Linked DNA regions of Stegostoma tigrinum. The protein of the gene in region 1 binds, or shares a complex with, the protein of each later gene. Links are inferred from orthologs where the notes say so. Each region holds a gene or a part of one and is shown in the gene's direction. Other genes may lie near its edges. The genes, in order: ccdc135, efcab2 and drc1.

Evidence for each region.
Region 2: ccdc135 (region 1) and efcab2 share a complex: the UniProt entries of both Homo sapiens proteins name them as parts of the nexin-dynein regulatory complex. The link is inferred for Stegostoma tigrinum from reciprocal best matches to the Homo sapiens genes DRC7 and DRC8.
Region 3: ccdc135 (region 1) and drc1 share a complex: the UniProt entries of both Homo sapiens proteins name them as parts of the nexin-dynein regulatory complex. The link is inferred for Stegostoma tigrinum from reciprocal best matches to the Homo sapiens genes DRC7 and DRC1.

The regions. Positions count from the first base shown.
Region 1 is NC_081363.1:81,622,862-81,630,159, forward strand, and holds the start of ccdc135 (dynein regulatory complex subunit 7), read left to right. Parts: upstream 1-4,278; 5' UTR 4,279-4,364; intron 4,365-7,298. UniProt on the Homo sapiens protein: Component of the nexin-dynein regulatory complex (N-DRC) a key regulator of ciliary/flagellar motility which maintains the alignment and integrity of the distal axoneme and regulates microtubule sliding in motile axonemes.
Region 2 is NC_081362.1:86,343,348-86,350,937, reverse strand, and holds the start of efcab2 (dynein regulatory complex protein 8), read left to right. Parts: upstream 1-4,557; 5' UTR 4,558-5,153; coding exon 5,154-5,178; intron 5,179-7,590. UniProt on the Homo sapiens protein: Component of the nexin-dynein regulatory complex (N-DRC), a key regulator of ciliary/flagellar motility which maintains the alignment and integrity of the distal axoneme and regulates microtubule sliding in motile axonemes.
Region 3 is NC_081357.1:129,135,535-129,143,351, reverse strand, and holds the start of drc1 (dynein regulatory complex protein 1), read left to right. Parts: upstream 1-4,736; 5' UTR 4,737-4,870; coding exon 4,871-4,992; intron 4,993-7,817. UniProt on the Homo sapiens protein: Component of the nexin-dynein regulatory complex (N-DRC) a key regulator of ciliary/flagellar motility which maintains the alignment and integrity of the distal axoneme and regulates microtubule sliding in motile axonemes.

The DNA.
Region 1 (7,298 bases):
CCCCCAAAGCATTGGCATTTTAACCAGCAGACCGTTGCATTCAGTCCAGACTAGAATCACATGCCCTTTCTTGGGATTTATGTTTAGGAATTACAGTCAACCTTTCAAGAAGTCAATAGCATCACATAATACTTTGTGCCTTTTCTCTTAAATGTCACAGTCAGTTTTCAGAACTAAAGCCTGCCAAACTAAACAAAAACAGTGATGCAAAGTGACTTCAAAAGGAAACTGTGACTATTGGGGAGGTCCATGACTGAAGTCTGAGGACCTTGACCAATTCTCCTTCGACCTGTCGAATTTGGGGAGATGCTGAAACAACAGCTTACATTTACATTAGCACCACAACTATCATTAAACAATCCCAAAGCACTTCACACAAATGTAATCAAACAAAATTCGACAATGAGCCACTAAGGAGATAGTAGGAAAAATTACCAAAATCTTGCTCAATGAGATAGATTTTAATAAGTGTTTTAAAGACAATGGGAAAAATGGAGCACTGCAGGGAAGAAATAGAACCCACTACTGATAGTTGAAGGCACAGCTGGCAAACATGAGTTATTATAAACAAGGATCCCCAAGAGACCAGAAATGGGAGAAAGCAGAAGTCTCTGGGAATAGATTGAAAATCAGACAGGCATGTATCTTCAAAACAGTTACATGATGTTATGACATGTAACATTCCAGCACAAAGGCATCAGCCTTGCTTTCAGTCACTCACTCAAGACAATAGTTTGTTCAGCCAGTCAGTTACTCAATGTACAATGAAACCTTCTTCAAGTCCCATCTGAACCTCCTGCCCTGACCTCAAAATTGTGCCCTTTGGTTATTGATACCTGTACTGAGGAGAAAGATTTCTTCCTGTCCACCTTATCTATGTACCCTAGAACTTTGTATACTTCAGTCAAGTCCCCACTCAGCTTTTTCTGCTTCAAGGAAAACAACCTCAGACTATCTAATCTCTCTTCTTAGCTGATTTAGTCCAGCCCAGGTGACATCCTGGTGAATCTCCTCTGCACCCTCTCAAGTGTAGCCACATTCATCCTATAGTATGGCAACCAGAACTGCACATAGTACACCAGCTGTGGCCTAACTAATGTTTTATATATCTCCGTAATAAACTCCTTGCCCTTGTATTCAATGCTTTTGCAAATAAAGGTAATTATCTCTTATGTCTTCTTAACCATCTTATTTTTTTTCCTACTTCCTTTAAGGATCTATTTTTATGCACACAAAGGATGCTCTGATACTTTGTACTTCCTAGGATACTACTATTCTTTGTGTACTTCCTTACCAGGTAGTCCTCCCAAAATGCATCATTTTTCACTTTGGAGGATTAAATTTGATTTGCCACTGATCTCCCCATCTGTCCTGTTAAATGCTTTCCTCCTTGCTATTTATCCTACCACTAGTTTTTGTGTTATCTGCAAACTTACTGATTAACCACCTGCATTCATGTCTAGATCATTAACGTACACTACAAACAGCGAGGGATCCAGCACCAAACCCGGTGGTATGTCATTGGACACAGGCTACCAGTTACAAAAACACTCTTCAACATCATTTTCTACTTCCTGCCATGTAGCAAATTTTGGATCCAATTTGTGAAATTGCCTTGTAGGATGTTTGCTTTTAAATTTCTTTACCAGTCTGCCATGCAAGAACTTATCAAGGGCCCACCTGCAGTCCATGTAGACAACATCAACAGCTGTACCTTCATCCAACACTTAGTAACCTCCTCAAAAAAATGCAGTCAAATATGATCTCCCCTGACAAAGCCATGCTCATGAGCCTTGATTAATCCTTATCTCCCCAAGTAGAGATTATTTCTGTTCCTCAGAAACTTTTCCAATAGTTTCCCACCACTGATCTTAGACTCTGGCCTGTAGCTTGTTTATCCCTACTACCCTTCTTGAATAATGGTATTACATTAACAGTCCTCCAGTACTCTGGAATCTCTGCTGTGGCCAGAGAAGATTCGAAAATTAATGTCAGGGCACATTGTAATGTCCTCCTTTGTGTCCCATGGCAACCTGATATTCATTTCATCTGTGCTTGGGGATTTATCTACTTTCAAGACCACAAAAACTGCTAATACCTCTTTCTCAGTGTCAATTTGTTCACATATCACTGTCGCCCTCCCTGATTTCTATGCTTACCTCGTCATTCTCTATAGTGAATCGAGATTCAAAGTAATCTTCTAAATCCTCAGTTATGTCTTCCGGCTCCACATGTAGATTGCCACTTTGGTGCCTAATTGGCCCTACTCTTTCTCTTGTTAGTTTCTTCCCCCTAAAATACTCAAAAAAACACCTTTGGATTTCCTTAATGCTACCCGCCAGTGCCTTCTCATACTCCTTCCTCGTTCTATTATTCTTTCAGTAACTCCCTCTCAATACTCTTCCAGGTCACACATTGTTTTCAGCCTTTGGTATCTGCCATAACCTTCTTGTTTGTCTCCCCTCATCCAACTCTACACATCAGGTTACTCTGGGCTTGTAGTTTCCACCCTTCACCTCATGGGAATATGTTAGCCTTGTGCTTTCATGTTTACCATTTTAAATGTCTCCCGCTATTTTCTTGCAAGTAGCTGCTCTCAGTTCACTTTGGCCAGATCCTGTCTTATTAAAATCAGCCTTCCCCATTTCAGAACCTTTAGTTCCAGTTCATCTTTGTCTTTATTTGTAATTACCTGGAATTATGGTTACTATCACCAAAATGCTTCATCATTGACATACCTTCCACTTGCTCAGCTTCGTTCCTTCAAAGTAAATCCATCGCCATCCTTCTGAATCAGACTTGCAAAATGCTAGCTTAAGTAATCTGCCAGACACATTTTAAGAATTCTATCCCCTCTAAGCCTTTCACAGTTAACTGCTATGTGAATTGACTTTGTCTGTCTGGCAGATGGGAGAGTGAAAATTGTCATATACATTAAGCAAAATGAAATAACAATGAAAGACCTCTCTGCATACTGGTGTGAAAAAAATCTAGGAGCAGGAGTTTCCAGGAGCAGAAGTAGTAAACTCAGCTCCTCAGACTTGCATTGCCATTCAGTACAATCATGCCTGATCTCAACTATCCCTCAACTCCACTTTCCTGTTCACTTTCCATAATCCTTCAATCAAGTACTAATTAAAAATCTGACGAGTTGCTCCTTAGATTTATTAATCTAACCTCTCATCTTGTTGGTCTCAGTAATCTTATCCTGCTAGCCAACACTTCTTTGGAAATTGGGACTTTCTTTGCTTTTGATATCCAGAAGCTCCTCCCTATCAATTTTTCATGATTTTTCCGAGTTTGAGGAACACCCCTGTTGTTCAGCGCTAGGGAAGTTTGTGCCCCAATGTGTCTTGGGAGATAAAATGATAAAGATAAGGGAAGCTACGTGCACATATGTTGTTGAAAATAATTATTTTTGCATTGGTAGGGTTTTGAGGGCGGCATCAACACCCCACCTCTGTCATCTCACCGTAGGAAAAATCAAGTTGTGGTCAAGATCATCTCTTAAAGTGAACAATCTGTGAGGCCTAATTGGCCTGAGCAGGAAGCCACCAAACATGCACTGTCTGTCACCCAAAAGCTACCACCAGCAATTTATGAAAACAATTTTAAAATCTGTTACCACGTGTCCTTTTTCCTGGCTAGTCTCGACCATTTGTAAACTTGAGCTCATCCAAATTCTATTTCCCCTATTCCCATATCAAAACCCCTTCCCCCTCATCCCTTGCATTTAGTGACCTACAGTAGCACCCGCTCAAGTCACATCTTGACTTTAAATTTCACTTCCATGTTTTCAAATTTATCATACCCTTGCTGTTCCTTGTCTCCATAATCTGCTCTGTCCACACAACCCACAGCAAGATATCCGCACCTCTTTATTTCAGACCTCTTGCGAAGCCATAATTTTAATCAATTATTCCTGCAGTTAACTTGGCCCCGAGCTCTGGAATATCCATCCTAAATCCATCCACTCATTCATTAAAACCTACCTTGTTGACAAAGCCTTTGGTCTCCTAACTTGATATATTATGTGGTTCTCGTTGTCATGATTTATCTCACAGTCCCCCCTACCCTGATGTGTTTTGTGATGTTTCATATTAAAGGTGTTATATGAATCTATGTGGTTGCTATTGTTGTAATCTCTGGCCTGCTGTCTTGATAGTGGTCTCAGTTTTGACCGGAAAAGACTACAATGCCCAGAGTGTCCTGCCTGTTGCCATGGTTGTTGCTAGGGACTGGTTGCTAAGCACTGGTTGCTAATTAAACTGGTTTCCAATCAACATCACAGGCCTGAGGCACTTGCACCTTCAAGGAAAAGCCTCAGAAAAAGCGACAGTTTAGACTGTTTGAGAAGCACAAAGGTAAAGGATCATCATTAACATTATTTCAATTTATTATGTATTTATTCTGTGTACTTCTTCACACAATTTTTAATTTGGTGCATGAACAAACTAGTTGTTCTTTTTACTTGTAACCTAGGAAGGTAGCTCAGTCTAAAAGTGCTGAGAGTGTGTAGTTGCACAGAGTTTGATCTTGACAATATAAAGAACAAGTTTCTACAAATAGGGAGGAAGTGGTTCATTTTTGCCGCTGTTTCAGGAATAAATGAGAGAGATAAGAGAAGCTATGTGCACCTGCATTTTTGAAAAGGATTATTTTTGAATTGATAATTACTCACCTTAATTTATGGGGTTTGAGGGTGGCACCAGCTCCCAGCGGGACCCCTAGAAAACAATCTGGCTCTTCTTCCAGGGGGAGAATGATACCAGGCGGTCTTTTGCACCCTCTGGAGAAGGCTTCGGTTTAGCATCTCATCCCGAGAACAGCACCTCTTGCTCTTGACTGAGCCTGGAGTGTCAAATTAGCTTATCTGCTCAAATCTCTGAAATGCCCTGCACCAAGAGGAAGCCGCTGATATTGCCACAGCTTAGTGCCTGGGCCACTGACCTCATCACAGGGAAACGAGAGGAAGTGGTGTGATCTGACAGAAGTTGCATAGGTGACAAATTGCATTTGTGAGTCAAGGATTGAGAGATTTCTGGCAGGTCCTCAGTGGTTCCTTGAAAGGAGTCATTCGCATAAAAGTTCAATGCAACTATCACCTTGAAAACCATCAGGACAGGATACCATGCACTCCTTCAGGTCTCACACCGGATGAAATTAACATGAAAATCCCACCTTCTCAACCTTACTCCTCACCTTTGTTATAGTGCAACAGTAGTGGCAATAATCCTGGTGTGACTGGATTCATCAATCACATTTCAAAGCATCTATGCCAGGAACATAAGAAACAGAATAGGCTTTTCATGATAAGAGCAATCAGCCTTCATATCCGTCACAAATGACCATTTGGCACAGTCCTCCATACAGTGAGTCATGGAGCACTCCAACAAAGAAGGCCAAGGAATGCCTCTCCATGACCCTTTGGCTTATTTCAGTAATGCACCTCCAGTAATGACATAAACAGAATACAGGAGATTGTACGTGCTGCATGACTATTGAGAAGTTGTCCTCCCAACCCCACTTCTCCTAAGAAAGGCGCCATTGCATATAAGATCACATCAACGAATACCTGCGGGTCAAGGTGATAGAGAATCAGTTTCATGCCCTTGTGCAGCCTTTGCCATTTAGCAGTATTCTGTGCTGAAGGTCACCTGTGATTACTTCTGCTTCACAAAGATGACTATCTTCAATCTACAACAACAAATGACATGGTCAAGATTGCTTGTGACCAGCACTTGTACCCCATACTGTTGCACAGGATGCATTTCACGTGCATGACATTATGATCATAGATAACATCAACCTGCACTAATTGCCCCATCAGTGCAGTTATACCTTGAAAGGCCTCAGGTTATTCACAAATGGAACCCATGTGTGGAGACAGAGTAAAACCTCTGACTCTACTCTGGATGTGGTTGCACCAATATTCTGTTTGCACTTCGCATCGAGGGGTCAGTTGAATATTGGACTCAATACAGGTCATACTTGGCACAGTGAGTCTTAGGCTCAGCCTGGTAATCAAAGGGTGCAGCCGAACCTCCATGTCACTTTCCTCCTATGATCCCCAGCATTGAGTTCCTCAACTTCCCTAGCACAGTCTTCCCTGATAAAACCACCGTGCTCTGTTGACTTTCATTCTGTTAATCCTCAGTACTGATCATGGTCTACCAGCTGATTGACTTTAAAGGGCAGCCCAACTGATGACTGACCGGACCCTTTAATGATCTGTGTGCAGCCCACCACCCCCCTACCCCCCCCCCCCCCCCCATTAACCAATTGTGAAACTCCTTACTATTTCTATGGGATCTGCAGGACTGAATGTGGCTTTCTCCCCAGACTTCAGTGAAATGGACCCTTGACTATGTCTGCCCCAAGCAGGCAGCTGACTGTGATCAAGCCCCTGGACTCAGATTAGGTGATGCCCTTGTCTTACTGTACTGGGACCCGCTGGCTGACTTGAATCAGAACCACTCTTTGAGGTAACTTATGCTGGGTGTTTCTCCTGACCTGGGAGGCCACACTGACCCAGGTGGCACCCTTTAACCATTCAATATTTACCATCTGCTGGAGTGTAAGGATTCTCCCAGACTTGCTGGAATCAATTCCCAGGTACTGACCTCATTAATGGCCAACATCTACCAAGCTGGTGTCATGGCCTCCTCTGGTCCTTGGGGGAAGAGGACAGTCTTCTTCTGTTAACCCAGTCAACCAGGCCCTTCAGGTCCCTGTCTGCAAAGAGTGGTCTCATTTTTCCCTTGGGCCATCATTTTTCCCTTACCCGCCGTGTCTGGAGCAAATAATCGTGCAGGACAGCTCCAGACCGACCATGTGCATAATGGCCTTGAAGTCATAAATCACATCCTGAGACAAACAGACAGGCAGGAGACCCATGGGGGGAGAAACTTTTAAAAATCATAATCAACAGAGAAAAATTATGACGAAATCAAATGGGACTGAAGTCTTATAGGTTCACTGGATTTGATCGCCTGTGTCAGAGGGTCTAAAACGAAGCAGCTTCAGAGATAATGGATGCATTTGTTGAAAGTTTCCTAAAAATTCCTGGATTCTTGAAGCGGTCCTAGCTGATTGTAAAACCCGAATGTAAAATCTCCAGTCAAGAGACCAGTGAGGTAGAAAGTAGAAAATTAAAGATCACATAGAATCTCATAAAAACCTATAAAATACTAACAGGACTGGGCAGGATAAGTGCAGGAGGGATGTTCCTGATTATCAGGTCGTCCAAAACCAGGGACACAGTCTAAGGATATGGGATTGGCCATTTAGGAATGAGA
Region 2 (7,590 bases), on another chromosome or scaffold:
GATACAGTCATCAATGTACCGGAGGAAGAGGTGGGGTTTGAGGCCTGTGTAGGTGCGGAAGAGGGACTGTTCCACGTAACCTACAAAGAGGCAGGCATAGCTGGGGCCCATGCGGGTGCCCATGGCCACCCCCTTAGTCTGTAACTGATGTCCATTTCAAGCCCACCGACTCCCACAGCTACCTAGAATACACCTCCTCCCACAAAAATTCCATCCCCTATTCCCAATTCCTCCGCCTCCGCCGCATCTGCTCCCACGATAAGACATTCCACTCCCGCACATCCTAGATGTCCAAGTTCTTTAAGGACCGCAACTTTCCCCCCACAGTGATCAAGAACGCCCTTGACCGCGTCTCCCGTATTTCCCGCAACACATCCCTCACACCCCGCCCCCGCCACAACCGCCCTAAGAGGATCCCCCTCGTTCTCACACACCACCCTACCAACCTCCGGATACAACGCATCATCCTCCAACACTTCCGCCATTTACAATCCGACCCCACCACCCAAGACATTTTTCCATCCCCTCCCCTGTCTGCTTTCCGGAGAGACCACTCTCTCCGTGACTCCCTTGTTCGCTCCACACTGCCCTCCAACCCCACCACACCCGGCACCTTCCCCTGCAACCGCAGGAAATGCTACACTTGTCCCCACACCTCCTCCCTCACTCCTATCCCAGGCCCCAAGATGACATTCCACATTAAGCAGAGGTTCACCTGCACATCTGCCAATGTGGTATACTGCATCCACTGTACCCGGTGCGGCTTCCTCTACATTGGGGAAACCAAGCGGAGGCTTGGGGACTGCTTTGCAGAACACCTCCGCTCAGTTCGCAACAAACAACTGCACCTCCCAGTCGCAAACCATTTCCACTCCCCCTCCCATTCTCTAGATGACATGTCCATCATGGGCCTCCTGCAGTGCCACAATGATGCCACCCGAAGGTTGCAGGAACAGCAACTCATATTCCGCCTGGGAACCCTGCAGCCATGTGGTATCAATGTGGACTTCACCAGTTTCAAAATCTCCCCTTCCCCTACTGCATCCCTAAACCAGCCTAGTTCGTCCCCTCCCCCCACTGCACCACACAACCAGCCCAGCTCTTCCCCCCCACCCACTGCATCCCAAAACCAGTCTAACCTGTCTCTGCCTCCCTAACCGGTTCTTCCTCTCACCCATCCCTTCCTCCCACCCCAAGCCGCACCCCCAGCTACCTACTAACCTCATCCCACCTCCTTGACCTGTCCGTCTTCCCTGGACTGACCTATCCCCTCCCTACCTCCCCACCTATACTCTCTCCACCTATCTTCTTTACTCTCCATCTTCGGTCCGCCTCCCCCTCTCTCCCTATTTATTCCAGTTCCCTCTCCCCATCCCCCTCTCTGATGAAGGGTCTAGGCCCGAAACATCAGCTTTTGTGCTCCTGAGATGCTGCTTGGCCTGCTGTGTTCATCCAGCCTCACATTTTATTATCTTGGAATTCTCCAGCATCTGCAGTTCCCATTATCTCTGCATCTCAGAGTTGTTCACTTGCTTTCATAATATTCACTCATTTAACACTCACATGTATCATCACAACATTCTTGCCTTGCCATGACTCTTAGCATAGTTACAGAACCAGGCAGCTTGTCTTGTTAGTCATCAAACTTCTGACAAGGGTGGACATTTTGCTACATGGGTAGACCAGAGACTGAAACATACAGATTTAGTGCAAAAATCTTAACATCTATGAAAAATATGAGGCTTAATATTAAGGGTTATGTCACCCAGGCCATCAACATGTCTTTCCTTCCTGTTACATCTCGATGCAGTGTCAGGTGCCACAACTGGGTAGAGGGAGCCTGCTCTACACTGCAGCCATTTGGCCTTGGAGGTTTGGTCAGGTGACACTGGGGGCATTTGTATCTAGAGGGCCCAAACAAGCTGACTGTGTCCTTGCTAGAGGCAAATGCATCTTCCTTGACTCAAACTTTCACAGGTTGGAGAGGCACAGGCGGGGTTGGGCTGGAAGACCCAGCATTTCTGGGCTGTACTCATTGAAGACTTCTGAGGGGTTCGTGTGTGGTTTCTCCTCCAGCAGGGTGCCTCCTGGAGGAAGGGGCACCTGGATTAAGGTCAAGGTTCCCCCGATCCCTTTGACTTTGCCTTCAGTCCTGAGGATCAATGGTTTGGTTGATACACAGCAAGTCCAATATGCTATCCAGCATACCGTGAGTGTTGCAGCTTGCTCTTCATGGCAACTATCATCCTATGTATAGAGGCAGGCAGACGATCTTAAGGTAGCAAAGACCTCCATAGCATAGCTGCAGCTCTTCAGCGTCTGGGCTACAAGGGCCATTGCCTCACATCACCTGCCTGCTGCTCCTTTACCTCCTTATGCATTTGAATGAAGTTCCTAATTGCCATTTTCACAAGATCCTCTTCTGCCTGGGACCTGGGCAGTTCTTCTTGTAAATCCATGGTGAAAAGATAATAGGATCTCGACGTGTTAAGGAGGAGCTGTTATCTTAAAAAGGACAGTAAGCAATTCATGTGAATTCAAAGGCTGGGTAAAGTTGAAGTAATTTGAACAGTTTAGAAATTATAGAAAATAAACTACAGGGGCACAGCTGGATGCTCTCAAATGTTGTAAAGCTGACCTTATTCTAGTCCCATATTTGTCTCATATCTTTCCTCATGCCCTCTCTGAGCCCATGATGTCCTGTAGAACTGCATGCTGCTTTCTCAACCCTATTCCCACTAAACTGCTGACCACCCAGCTTCTCTCCTGGCTCCTATGTAAGATAATATTATGAACAATTTTGCCTCCTCAGATGCTGTCCCCATCTCCTTTAAATCCTCTCTGCTGTCTGAGGAACTGTTGCCATCTCCTAAATTAAGATCCATCTTTCCTAGATCGCTATGATTGAATTCCTTTGTCAGATTTCTGTCACACCATATCAAAAAAAACTCTCATCAAAGTTAGAGATAGTAGGAACTGCCGATGCTGGAGAATCTGAGATAGCAAGGTGTAGAGCTGGATGAACACAGCAGGACAAAGCAGCATCAGAGGAGCAGGAAAGCTGATGTTTCGGGTCTGGACCCTTCTTCAGAAATAGAAGGTCTGAGGATGGAAGGTCTGAAGAAGAGTCCAGACCCAAAACATCAGCTTTTCTGCTCCTCTAATACTGCTTGCGCTACTGTGTTCTACACCTTGTTATCTCATCAAAGTTATAAGTGAAGGGCTGTATGACTGTGACAATGTTAAACTATGCTCTATCTTCTTTTTTAATCTCTCTGTAGACTTCCATGCAAGTTGATTTAACTGTCCTCTTCCGATGACTCTGCTGTCATGTGAACAGGTGGGACTTCACCCACGGGGTTCCAAATTTATCTAAATAGTTGCAGCCAGCAAGTCAAATCAGCTTTTAATTCCACTCTCAAACCATTACCTCTGGTGACCTGCAATAATCTATCCTCAGGCCTCTCTTAAAACTTTCCTACTCAAGATACCGTTTGCAACGCTACCTGAAAACACATTCATTTCCAGATGTATTGATGACATCCAGCTGTCCTCACCAGAAACTCTTCCAATCCCACTATGTCTTTAAATTCTTGATTACGTTAGTACTGGATGAGCTAACTAACCTCACTCCCTAGCCAAAGATCCCAATTCCCCTCTCTAGAGACTGAATGAGACTGTTTGCAACATTGGTGTTATATTAGAACCCACGATGAGCTTCCAACTATACTGTGATATCATTACTTAGACCATTTACTTTCACTCATCACTCAGGAGTTCACCTGCCGTTGAAACTCTTATCCATTCCTTTCTCATCTCTATATTTGAATAATTCTTTCCTACCTGCTCTCTTGCACAGACTACCCTCTAAACTTGAGGTCATCCAAAACTCTGCTTCCTGTATCTTAGCTCACACCAAATCCTGTTATCACATCAACCTTGCACTCACTGATCTATACTGGTTTACTGTTAAGCAAGTTCTTGACTTTAAAATTTATTCTTGTTTCAAATCCCTTCATAGATTTGTTCCTATATCTGTAATCTTTTTCAACCTCACTACCTTCTGCAACCTTGACCCACCTTTAATGCTGGATTTCAAAATCACAGACATTAACCATTCCACCATTTGTGGTTCAGAATTTGATTAACAAGAACTTAAGCTCTGGAATTACCTCCCTCTTTGTCTCTTCAGCTCTTTTTTCTTCTTTAAGGGTAAGGCACTCCTTCTTTCTACCTCTTCTTGACCGAGAAAAATTTGGTCACTTGCCCTAATATCTTTTTATGTTGTTTCAGAGTGCCCCTGTGAAAATCTTGTGATGAGTTATTAAAGATGCTGTATGTTGTTACAGATATACAGATATATCTGATAGATATCGTACAGATATGTCGTTATACAATTGTTTAATTTGAAGGATAAAAATACATTTTGTTTTAAAATCATGACAGAAATACTACACTAGGTCTGGGTTTCAATACACATGTATGTTTATATCCCTCCTTCCCTGCATTAAGATAGAAGATTAAAAACAAGATCAACAACTCGGATTTATACGCAACTTGCCTTCATCATAGTGAAACCTTCCATGGCACTCACAAACAATTGCAAGAGAGACAGCAATTAAGAAGCAGACATAAAGATAAGAGATTGTAGATTTGATGGCGGGATCAATAACCAGGGAGCATAGATTTAAGATAGGGGCAGGAAGTTTAGAGGATGTGAGGAAAACCTTATTGAACCATGAGTGTTGAAAATCTGGAATTCATTACCTGTAAAGGTGGTAGAGAGAAATCTTTGCATCACTGAAGAATTTAAATGTGCAATTGCAGTGCCCAGGCACACGAGGCTAAGGGCCAAGAGCTGGGAAAATAGAATTAGAACAGGTAGGGGCTTGTTTTTGAGTGGATGGACCGAGGGTCAAGAGGGCCTTATCTGTGCAGTAGACCTCGATGAGTTCAAGGGATTTCAAACAGATTTTTAAAGGAAAGAGATTTTACAGACAACGAATCTGTTAAACAGCGCTTTGATATAAAATCGTCAAAGCTGCAAAAAGAAGAAGGGAGACCGGGATTTCTCCAACATTGTCTCCCCATCCTTTCCCTTCGATTGACAACCGCCTTGACAACTGCGCTCCTTAGCAACCATCCGAAACAATATGGCCGACGACAAAGAAGCGGCAGGTAAGCAGCAGCTTGGATAAAGGTCGGCGATGGCGATGGTGATGGTGCAACCTCCATAAGACACACACATAGAAAACCCATCAACAACAAGGGACTCTTCAGGCCCGGAGCTTAATTCCAGCTTAATCTTTTCCGCCCAGATTCAAGATGGAGCTCAGCTGGAGACCTCTGGTCTTTGTTCTGAGAGGACGATGATGTGGAAAGAATTTTAACCCATCATTTGTAGACAGGGAGAGCTGTAGCCCCCTAGTGATTTGTTTTGCTCTCTGTCAAAAAGATCACGTCTTCATTAAAACTAGCGGAGCCTCAGCTTACTTTTTTTAAAAAAAAGCTAGAGGCGTTAAAATCCACGGTGTTTTGAAATCAATATCAGCGAGTCACCTGCCACTTGAGCGACACATTGAAAAAAATCATCTTTTCCGAATTATAAACAGAAACGTTATATTTGTTCAAAAATGCATGAATGGCGACAAATGAGTTTATTTAAAATCCAGCTTGACTAGCCACAGTTTAGTGCAATGAACATACAGAATGCTGGAGAGACTCACAGATCTGGCAGCACCCGTGGAGAGAAAGCAGAGTTAAAGTAGTGATCCTTCTTCGGAACAATTTAGTGAATATTATTTGCCATAATTCATGTCAGATTTGTAGAATTTTTAACTAGGAGGTTATTCTTATAGGAAATTGATTGTTTTACCAGCAGCTGTACTTTTAAAAACACCATTTTACTGATTTTTTAAAATCATATTTGTAAATGAAATTTAACTTTTAATTTAAATACGCCCAATTTTCACGTTGAGTACAGCCAAGAAGGACACTTTTGTGAAATGTTTTATCTAGCACCAACCAGTGACATCCATAAGAATACCAATGTAATGGAGAAACTATATTTGTACTGTATGAGAGGGGACTGTTGATTGATTAGCAAATGGTCTCCCAATGAATGAATTGCCATGGAGAATGTGCCAGTTCAATGGTGACTGACAGTTAACTACCAAGATTTGTTTACATTTTAAACCAGGCAAATTAGCTCTGATTCATCAACGCATATTCCTGAGAAATGAACCAGAGAATGGCCATCATCTATTTTCTTCAGTTGAAATGCGCACAGTGTATGTCCATATTCCAGCATCAAAGACCAGCACCCTCTAGCTTCCAGTTTGCATACATATGCCACAAACCAACTAATAACCCTACAATAACAAGGTGTAGAGCTGGATGAACACTGCAGGCCAATCAGCGTCAGAGGAGCCCCCCTGATGCTGCTTGGCCTGCTGTGTTCATCCAGCTCTACACCTTGTTATCTCAGATTCTCCAGCATCTGCAATTCCTACTATCTCTAATGATCCTACAATGTTTGACAGTATAATTCTTTGCACATTCAGGATCATGTAGCAAATATTGTCCATTTGCAGAGTCACATGTAATGTTTGGCACCATGTTTTGAATTTTGCAAGTGTGGGCTGGTTGATTGGTTGATTACAGTCTTATTTGTTGCAACAGCCAAAGTGGTTTGCTGTTTGATATAATTTTCCAGCTTTGAGGACACATGGCCCACATAGCTAGCACCACACTGACACTGAAATTCATTTACCACATTATTCATTTGTGTAACAGGGAAAACATCTTTTTAGCTTAATGGCAGAATCCTGTTAGTGGTGAACGGCATTTGTGATACCACTTTCAAAAGCTTGCTTCACCTGTTGATAAAACCTTTCAGATATTCGGCTTGGAGGCTCATGCAGTCAGAAAAAAAATTAGAGAGAATGCTGGCGACATCCATTCTGTGGTTCATTTCTCAGGCAAATGCCTTGACCAATCAGAGTAATATTGCCTGATTTAAAATTTAAACATGTCTTGGCATTTAATTGTCAGTCACAATCTAACTGGTAAGTTCTCCATGGCAATGTCTTTGCTAACAAGAATCCACTTGCCAACCAGTCAGCACTCTCATCATTCAGTATAAATGTTTTCCCTTATTTTCCAATATTCTTGTGAATTGTCCTGAGGAGTGCAAAATGAAAAACCTGAAAATAATGTGTCCTTTTTAGGCAATGTTCAGGTTCTGTACTACCAAAAACTATTTCTACACTGCTATTAAGAAAAGAGTACATGAAATATTAAAATTCGCTTTTTATATTTTGCCATTTTATTCCCTCTTTTGCTGGTAGTATGCAATTCATTTTCAATTTCTTTCTTGAACAACAATCAGAGACCAGAACCTTAAGGACAGAGAGCTATGCTATTCCCAAAGCAATAAAAAGCAATTTATCATGTCACTTCTGTGGGGATTTATAATCTTGCCAAAAAGAAAATCACTATTATCCCATTCAATGGTGTTGATGAAGAGTTTGGAATTATTTCAAAGACCAGAACATGTTGTCTTTTAATGCTATCAACAAAATTGTGTCA
Region 3 (7,817 bases), on another chromosome or scaffold:
TTTACTGAGGAACAGGTGGGATATGGAAAAAGATGGGCCATCTCATTACACTTGGATGACAGTTAAAAGTGCATCAAGCAGTTCGGGGTTGGTCTAGATTTTTTAAAAATCTAGTGAATTTTCCTTGTCACTAACCAATTTGAGTACTATTGGATGAGATTGTGCTTTCACTTTGAGAAAGAAGTAATAATCTTAAATGTTAAAACAATGAATTTTCTTTCCTGTAAGCCTAAAATACCACTATAGTTTGTAGATGCCTTTAGGTGAAGCTTATTTTTGGAGAACATTGACAGAACTGCATAATTTGATTTAAAACTTGTGAATGTCTTAAATTTTGATCACTACCTGTTAGCTGAGATTTAACAATAAAAGTGAAATGAACTTGTTAGCTGGTTATTGAATTGATTTAAATGCAACTTTTTTCATCATCTAAAACAGCCTCGAAGACACTCTGATAGAATTGATTTCAAATTGTTTATTGCCAATCTTGGGTATTTCAAGACGTCTGTGATTTATCATACACACACTTCACTTTTTAAATTAATTTTAGTGTGGCATATGAACATCATCAGTAACAAATTTTCATGCATGTTTTGATCTCCTCTTATGTTTTAAATCTCATTTTAATTAAGACTTACTAACATTTATTTTGAATTGCTAAAAATTGGGAGGGATTTGGTCCAAACTTCTCAACCACCTCATCATTTGCATCCCTCTGTGACAGTGCAGGGCATGGGTATGCCAAAGCCTTTGTTTTCTTTGCTTGTCTGAGTTCTGATCTCTGATTAGCTGAATTTTTGCATACATAATATTTGAGAATACCCTTATTTAGGTCACCTTCCTAATTTTAAATAAAAGTTAAAATATCTCATCAGTATTACACAACTTGTGATAGTAGATGCCAACTCTAAAGTACATGAGAGTTGCCAGAAGTAACTTAATGATTTTCATAACTAAAACAAATTTGTCTGAATGTTTTGGGTGAGGAAAATATTTTGCTTTGTACAACAGGATCGCCACAAATACTTCCTTTTTCGTTGATCATAATTTGCAAATCAGCAAGCAAGTGTCATTGAATGTGATGAAAGGCACAAGGGAGGAAACTGAATAACTGCTTCACTTTCTAATTAGAGGTTCCTTCATTCGGAGGAAGACCTACCTTATTTTCTTTTTGTGGGATGACTGTTTTTTGAAACCAGAAGTTTATTCTTGGGTGCAACAAGTTTTTTTGACATGTAATATTTAATTGTTTGTCTTAATTGGTATTGTCAGTGCACTCTGTCATCCTTTGCACAATTGAATTTAATTTGCTTTTAATTGGCTTTTTGTAGATACATTTGTGAAAAAAAGTTATGAACCTCTGTTCTAAAGGGGCAGAATTTGAAAGTGCCTACATTCCAGTAGTGTTCTGGTTATGATCTTGTGGCAAACTGGCAAAACATTACCTTGTGACTTAATTATATTGTTTGTTTGTAATAGGACCATTTAAAACTGCAGCTGAATAATTAAATGATCATAGTATTCAAATTAAGGTTTTGTTTGATTACACTAATTGATTTATTGTACAGAAATATTTCACTACAACTGACCACAATTTAATCTTGTTTCATGATGACTAAATATCTAATATGCCTTGACTTGATATTAATGTTAATGAGGAAACATTTTTGAAGAGCAAGTTGGGAAATTCCTTGCTGCCTTTACTTGAAACACCCAGTCTACCTCATTTTTACCTTTTTTATTAGAATAACAATGGGATGACTGATTAGTGGAATCAGTAACCTAATGGTACTAATTCTATAAAGATCATTTAAAAAGCCCTTGCCTGCCTTTCCACACCCCCCCCCCCCCCAATCATTATGGTTTTGTTATTTTTGTAAAGAAATATTGTAAGCTGTGCACATGCACTTCATTCTAAACTCTGTATGCAGGTCTGCGTACGCACTCTGAGCAAATTTGGTGCTGAAAACCAAGTGTATGCTGATTCACAGAACTGCATGAAGCGGCAGCTTAGTACTTGTAAAATTTAATTAGCTTACTGTCAAGAAGTACAAGGCTTTATTGTGACACATTGCATGATTTTGTAATCCCCAAATGAGCTGATTCATAATCAAAATGCTAATGTACTTGTTCAAAACTCAGTAAAATAGGATTCACTTGCATTGCAACCTCTGTAAGGTACACTTTCTTGATAATTGTTCTCTTTTGGTCTATGTTTTAAGTTATTAAAAGAAAACACTTTTTTAGGTGCTGTCTTCTTCAGATGAAGTAATGATCTACATGATTAAGTACAAAGTTCACAATCCTGTTGTATGCATATTATTGCTCCCAGAAAGCTGTTTAAAAATGTACCTGAAGTAATTCATCTGGTATGCTGTGTGCAAATTTGACAGCTTTCTTGTGTCTAAGTTTTTTTTTATATTCAGTTGGTCAGATTACTGACATATCACTCACCAGTCTCATTTTTAACTGAATTTATTGAGAATGCTACATTGTCATATCTACTGGTCATTATTTCACCTGAAGTAGTGCACTAAGTACATCTCTAATGTAGAATCCCTCTTCTGCTGTGACCATCGGAATAAAAATGTATGACTGCTGTTGGATGAGGTCCAGTGGTGGTTTTTGGTTTGTAAAATGCTACCAAGTTATTTATTGTAAGGATAAACATTGAATATTTAATAAAACTGAAGGAAAAAGTGGTCTGATTTATATTGTCTCATACAATCTGATAACTGAAGTACTCAAAATTACATGATTTATTGAAAAAAAAACCCTTTTCACACCCTTTTTAAAAATTTCTTGATTGTAAAGCATGTTAAGATTTGTCATCGTGGGGAGGGGGAGGGGTATCCTGAACTTGATTTAAATAAAACTACATGCATAACTTCTATATACCCCCAACTGTAACAGATTTTACTGAACTATTCAGTAGTAATTTTCTATTAGTTTGAATTTTGTACTGTGGATGTTGTGCTCTGTTCCTGGTGCATCGCATCTTTTTTTTGCAACTGGCCATACTAATTAACAGGAGCTCTTGATCTGTAGTTCTAATTCCCATTAATGCCACTTTTGTTTTCATGGTGGAAGCCTGGGCAGGGGCTGTTAAACATCTCCTACATGGTGGTGGTCATAGATTTGGAAGGTGTTGTCTTAGAATCTTTTGAACATCTACAGTACATCTTTTTGAGACAACATATTGCTACTGAGTATCAATGGTTGAGGGACTACACTAGTCAAGTCAGGAGTGTTCCATCTCCCCTGACTTCTGCCTTTTTTGTAGATGGTGGACAGAATGTGATGAGTCAGAAGGTGATTTATCACAGTAATCCTAGCATCTGACCTGTTCTTGTAACCCCTGTTTTACGTAGCAACTGGCTAACAGTAGCCTGAGGATTACTATTGACTAATGGGAGATTTTGGACATAGTAATGCCATTGAATGTCAAGGGCTGGTGGTTATTGGAGATGGTCCAGTGGTAGTATGGCTATTGCCCAAATCTTGTTGCCTTTTGGGTATGGCCTAAATCTGCTGGAGGTGTCATGAATGGGGCTGAACACTAGTTAATAAGCATCCCTAAGTTTTTGTTTTTTTTTGGTGACTCTCCCTCCCATCCTCGTGAAGCAGCTAATGATGGCGAGGCTGAGGACGCTTTTCTCTTCTCTACTGGAGTTCGTGGGAGATGTCCTAGAGCTGAGAAGACTATCACTAACCAAAGCCTTCCTATCACGTGATAATGGGAACTGCAGATGCTGGAGACTGCTGTGTTGATCCAGCCTCATTTTATTACCTTCCTATCACGTGCTCAGTTACGACTCTAACAGTGGTATAACTTCCTCCTGATTACCTTTTTACTCTAGTTTTGGTAGGGTTCCTTTTATTAACTATCTTCCTTTGGTGTAGTAATGATTTGAAATTTTCAAAATACTAATCAAAGAAAATAGCGGAAAAGTACAGACTATCCTCAGCAGTTTGTGTTCATATGCTAAAAATGTGGTACCCGTAGCACTGCTTAATACGTCAGTTTTCCTCTTATTCTACCTGACTTCTTCTATTTTCCCCCTAGCACTATGCTGTGCTATGTCTGCCTCCAGCAGCTCCAGTTCTTGCTCTCCAAAGCCTAACCTTTTTTTTGTATAGGTGTCGTTACAAGCATCCATTTCTCCTCCCCTACCCTTTCAGAATTCATTTTATGCTGCTTTGAAGAAAGAAAATTGAGACATCATCTCCTTTACCTTCCCCTCCTTATTTCTCCCTGCCTACAACGCTTCCAACCTCTCCCCTGCACTGGACTCAAATCATTAATACAATTAATTTCCCCTATTAGACTGTACTCTTGAACTGAGCAACTAACAATTGCTATTCTGTTTAAAGTCACCCATTTTTGTCTTAGTATTGCTAATGGTCCTTTCATTCCCTGAGCGGCTCTAGGCCTGAAACGTCAGCCTTCCTGCTACACCTTTTCTTATCAGAATCTGCAGTTCCCACTATCTCTCAATAAACTAGAGCCATACAAAGTTTTTAAACAATTTTAGAATGTTGTGGGGAAGTGGAGGTGTACGTTACCTTAAAGCCTTTCTGTCAGCTCTCTAAAGGACTCGCTCATTAACCCCCCTTTCTCTTACTTCAAGCCTAAATCATTGTGGCCGGATTGTGTTGCTCTATCTCTCCGGCCAGGCAACTTGGTGACGTCACGGTCTCCTGGCGACCGCCGTCTCCTAGCGACGGGCATCAACCGTCTCCCGCAGGCCCAGCGGGGAACCGGCCGCTCCCGCTCCTTACCGTCTCCCGCAGGCCCAGCGGGTACCGGCCGCTCCCGCTCTGGTCCTTACCGTTTTCCGCAGCCCCGGCGGGAAACCAGCTGCTTACCATGTCGGACACACTTATCGTTCAAGCCAATGAATCGGCCGTCAACGTCAACTCCGATGTCGCCGAGGAGAGAATCGCCGCCCGCCGCATTCGGATTGCCCAGCGGCTGGAGGAGAAGAGACGGTGAGGGGGGGGCGGCGATGTGGGGTGGATGTACTTGGGTGTGTGTGGGGGGTGGAGGTGTTTGGGTGAATGGGTGGGCGTGTGTGTGGGGAGGGGAATGTGGGGTGGATGTGTTCGGGTGTGTGTGGGGCAGGGAGGTGGATGGGTGGGTGTGTGTGTGTGTGGGCGGGAGTGTGGGGGTAGGAGGAATACCTCTTCCAAGTGTTTAAGGATAATGGATATCCAAAGAACTGGGTCAGGAGATACCTACAGGAACAGCATCAGAAAGATTCTACATGCCGGACACACTCATCACACTGCCCTACGTCAGGAACACATCAGCAAAACTCACCACAAGACTTCCACGACTGCTGGGCATCAGAGTGGTACACAAACCCACATCAACCCTACGACAAGGGCTCACCCAAACTAAAGACCCACTCCCCGCCATGGACAGGACCAATGTCATCTACAAGATCCCCTGCAGAGACTGTGAGAAACACTACGTTGGACAAACAGGGAGAAACTAACAACAAGAGGACATGAACACCAACTGGCTACAAAAAGACACAAACAATACTCACTCATCTCAATCCACGTGGACAAGGAGAACCACCAATTCGACTGGGAAAACACCAGGATCCTGGGACAGGCTAGACAGAGACAAGCATGAGAATTCTTGGAAGCATGGCACTCCACAAAGCAGGCTATTAATAAACACATTGAACTCGGCCCCAAATACATTCCACTACGGAGAAAACCTGGAAGTGAGGCAATCCCTTGCAACGGACCCCTGAGTTTAAACGCCAGGCGGGAAAACACACTGACACTTCATCAGAGGCTGCATTGACGATGTTACCAAGCATGGTAACGAAACATGTGCAGGAGAACAAACCAGCTCGCCGAGCCAACCAACCTTAAAACGTTGGGTCTATGTGAGCCTGACTTCACACATTCAAGCTTCTTTTTTGCAAAAAAAAACAAAGCTATTTACTCACATTTCGATGCAGCAGCCAGGTTTACAACACCCTTCCCAAGAGAAACAGGACCGAGCAAATCCCTCTTAAGGCACATATCATCGCATTGCCATATCTTGTGTGTCCTTCTGATGCTGTGAACCAAATTGGTTAGGTCTACGATTATTACCTGTTGGTCTATAACAAAATATGGAAGATGAACTTAATCAATGAATGTATCTCTGCATTCAATCACTAATTCTGTTGGACCTTCCACTTCCTCTTATGAGAGGATGCTGTAAATCAAGTTACAGTTCTGGTCACCGCATTATAACAAGGATGTGGAAGCTTTGGAAAGGGTGTTTAGGAGATTTACTAGGATGGTGCCTGGTATGGAGGGAAGGTCTTACGAGGAAAGGCTAAGGGACTTGAGGCTGTTTTTGTTAGAGAGAAGAAGGTTGAGAGGTGACTTAATTGAAACATATAAAATAATCAGAGGGTTAGATAGGTTGGATAGGGAGAGCCTTTTTCCTAGGATGGTGATGGCGAGCACGAGGGGGCATAGCTTTAAATTGAGGGGTGAAAGATATAGGACAGATGTCAGAGGTAGTTTCTTTACTCAGAGAGTAGTAAGGGAATGGAACGCTTTGCCTGCAACAGTAGTAGATTCACCAACTTTAGGTACATTTAAATCGTCATTGGACAAGCATATGGATATGCATGGAATAGTGTAGGTTAGATGGGCTTCAGATTGGTATGACAGGTCAGCACAACATCGAAGGCCGAAGGGCCTGTACTGTGCTGTAATGTTGTATGTTCTAATTGTTCACTTCACACCTACGTACAGAGGACCAGCTTTAACATAATGAACTGTAAAGCTTATTACATTCGGTCATAAATATTAATTCAGTATTTATAGAAAGCATTTCAGTATAAAGAGCACAATTTTCACATTCCTTTATCCAGCTAATTGAGTCACAGAGTTCTTACAGCACAGAAATTGGCCTTCCAGTCTGACGTGTCCACAGCAGTTAACAAACCTCCATCTATTCTAATTTCATTTTCTCACATTTGGTTCATCGAAACAGTTCTTAAATGTCTCTCCTGTTTCCATCTCTACCATACTTTAAAATGGTGAGTTCCAGCTACCTCCAACCCTCTTGATGCCCTCCCCAACCCTCTTGATGCCTATTATTATTTGCTATTACCCACAGTTTTTACAGACATTGTTATTATTTTGTTTAATGTCTGTTCTGACTGCTGATAGCGTAGCTGCTGTGCTTTTAGCCTGAGTTCATGCGTCCCATTTCCTTTTGCAATATGACTGAAAATGTAACCCTTAAATAACTGAAACACTTTCAGCTCCATTGCCCTCAGCATAAATTCTGTTTTGGCACATTTAAGATTATAATCGTAAGACATAAGAAATAGGAGAAGGAGTAGGCTATTTGACCCCTCGAGCCCACTCTGCTATTCAGTAGAATCATGGCTAATTGGACACTTCTTGCCCAATTTCCTGCCTTTCCCCATAACCTTTGATTCCTGTACCAATCTATTGCTGTTCAGTTCAGCAGAAAATAAGTTTATTCTAAAAACAAGCATTTATTACCATGATAGGATTCAAGTATTTGTCTGGTTGCTGCCCTGATAATTTATATTATTAAGTAATTAATTATTATTCAAATAAGTATGTAACATAGTCACGCAGAGACAGCATGTCTTCATGAATGGGAAATGATGCCTGACAAATTTATGATAATTCTTTGTGGAGATAACAAGCAGGAAGGATGCAGGGGAGCCAGTGGATGTAAATTATTTGGATTTCCAAAAGGAGTTCAACAAAGTACTACACATAAGGCTTCTTGCCAAGATAAGAACCTTATGGCAAAG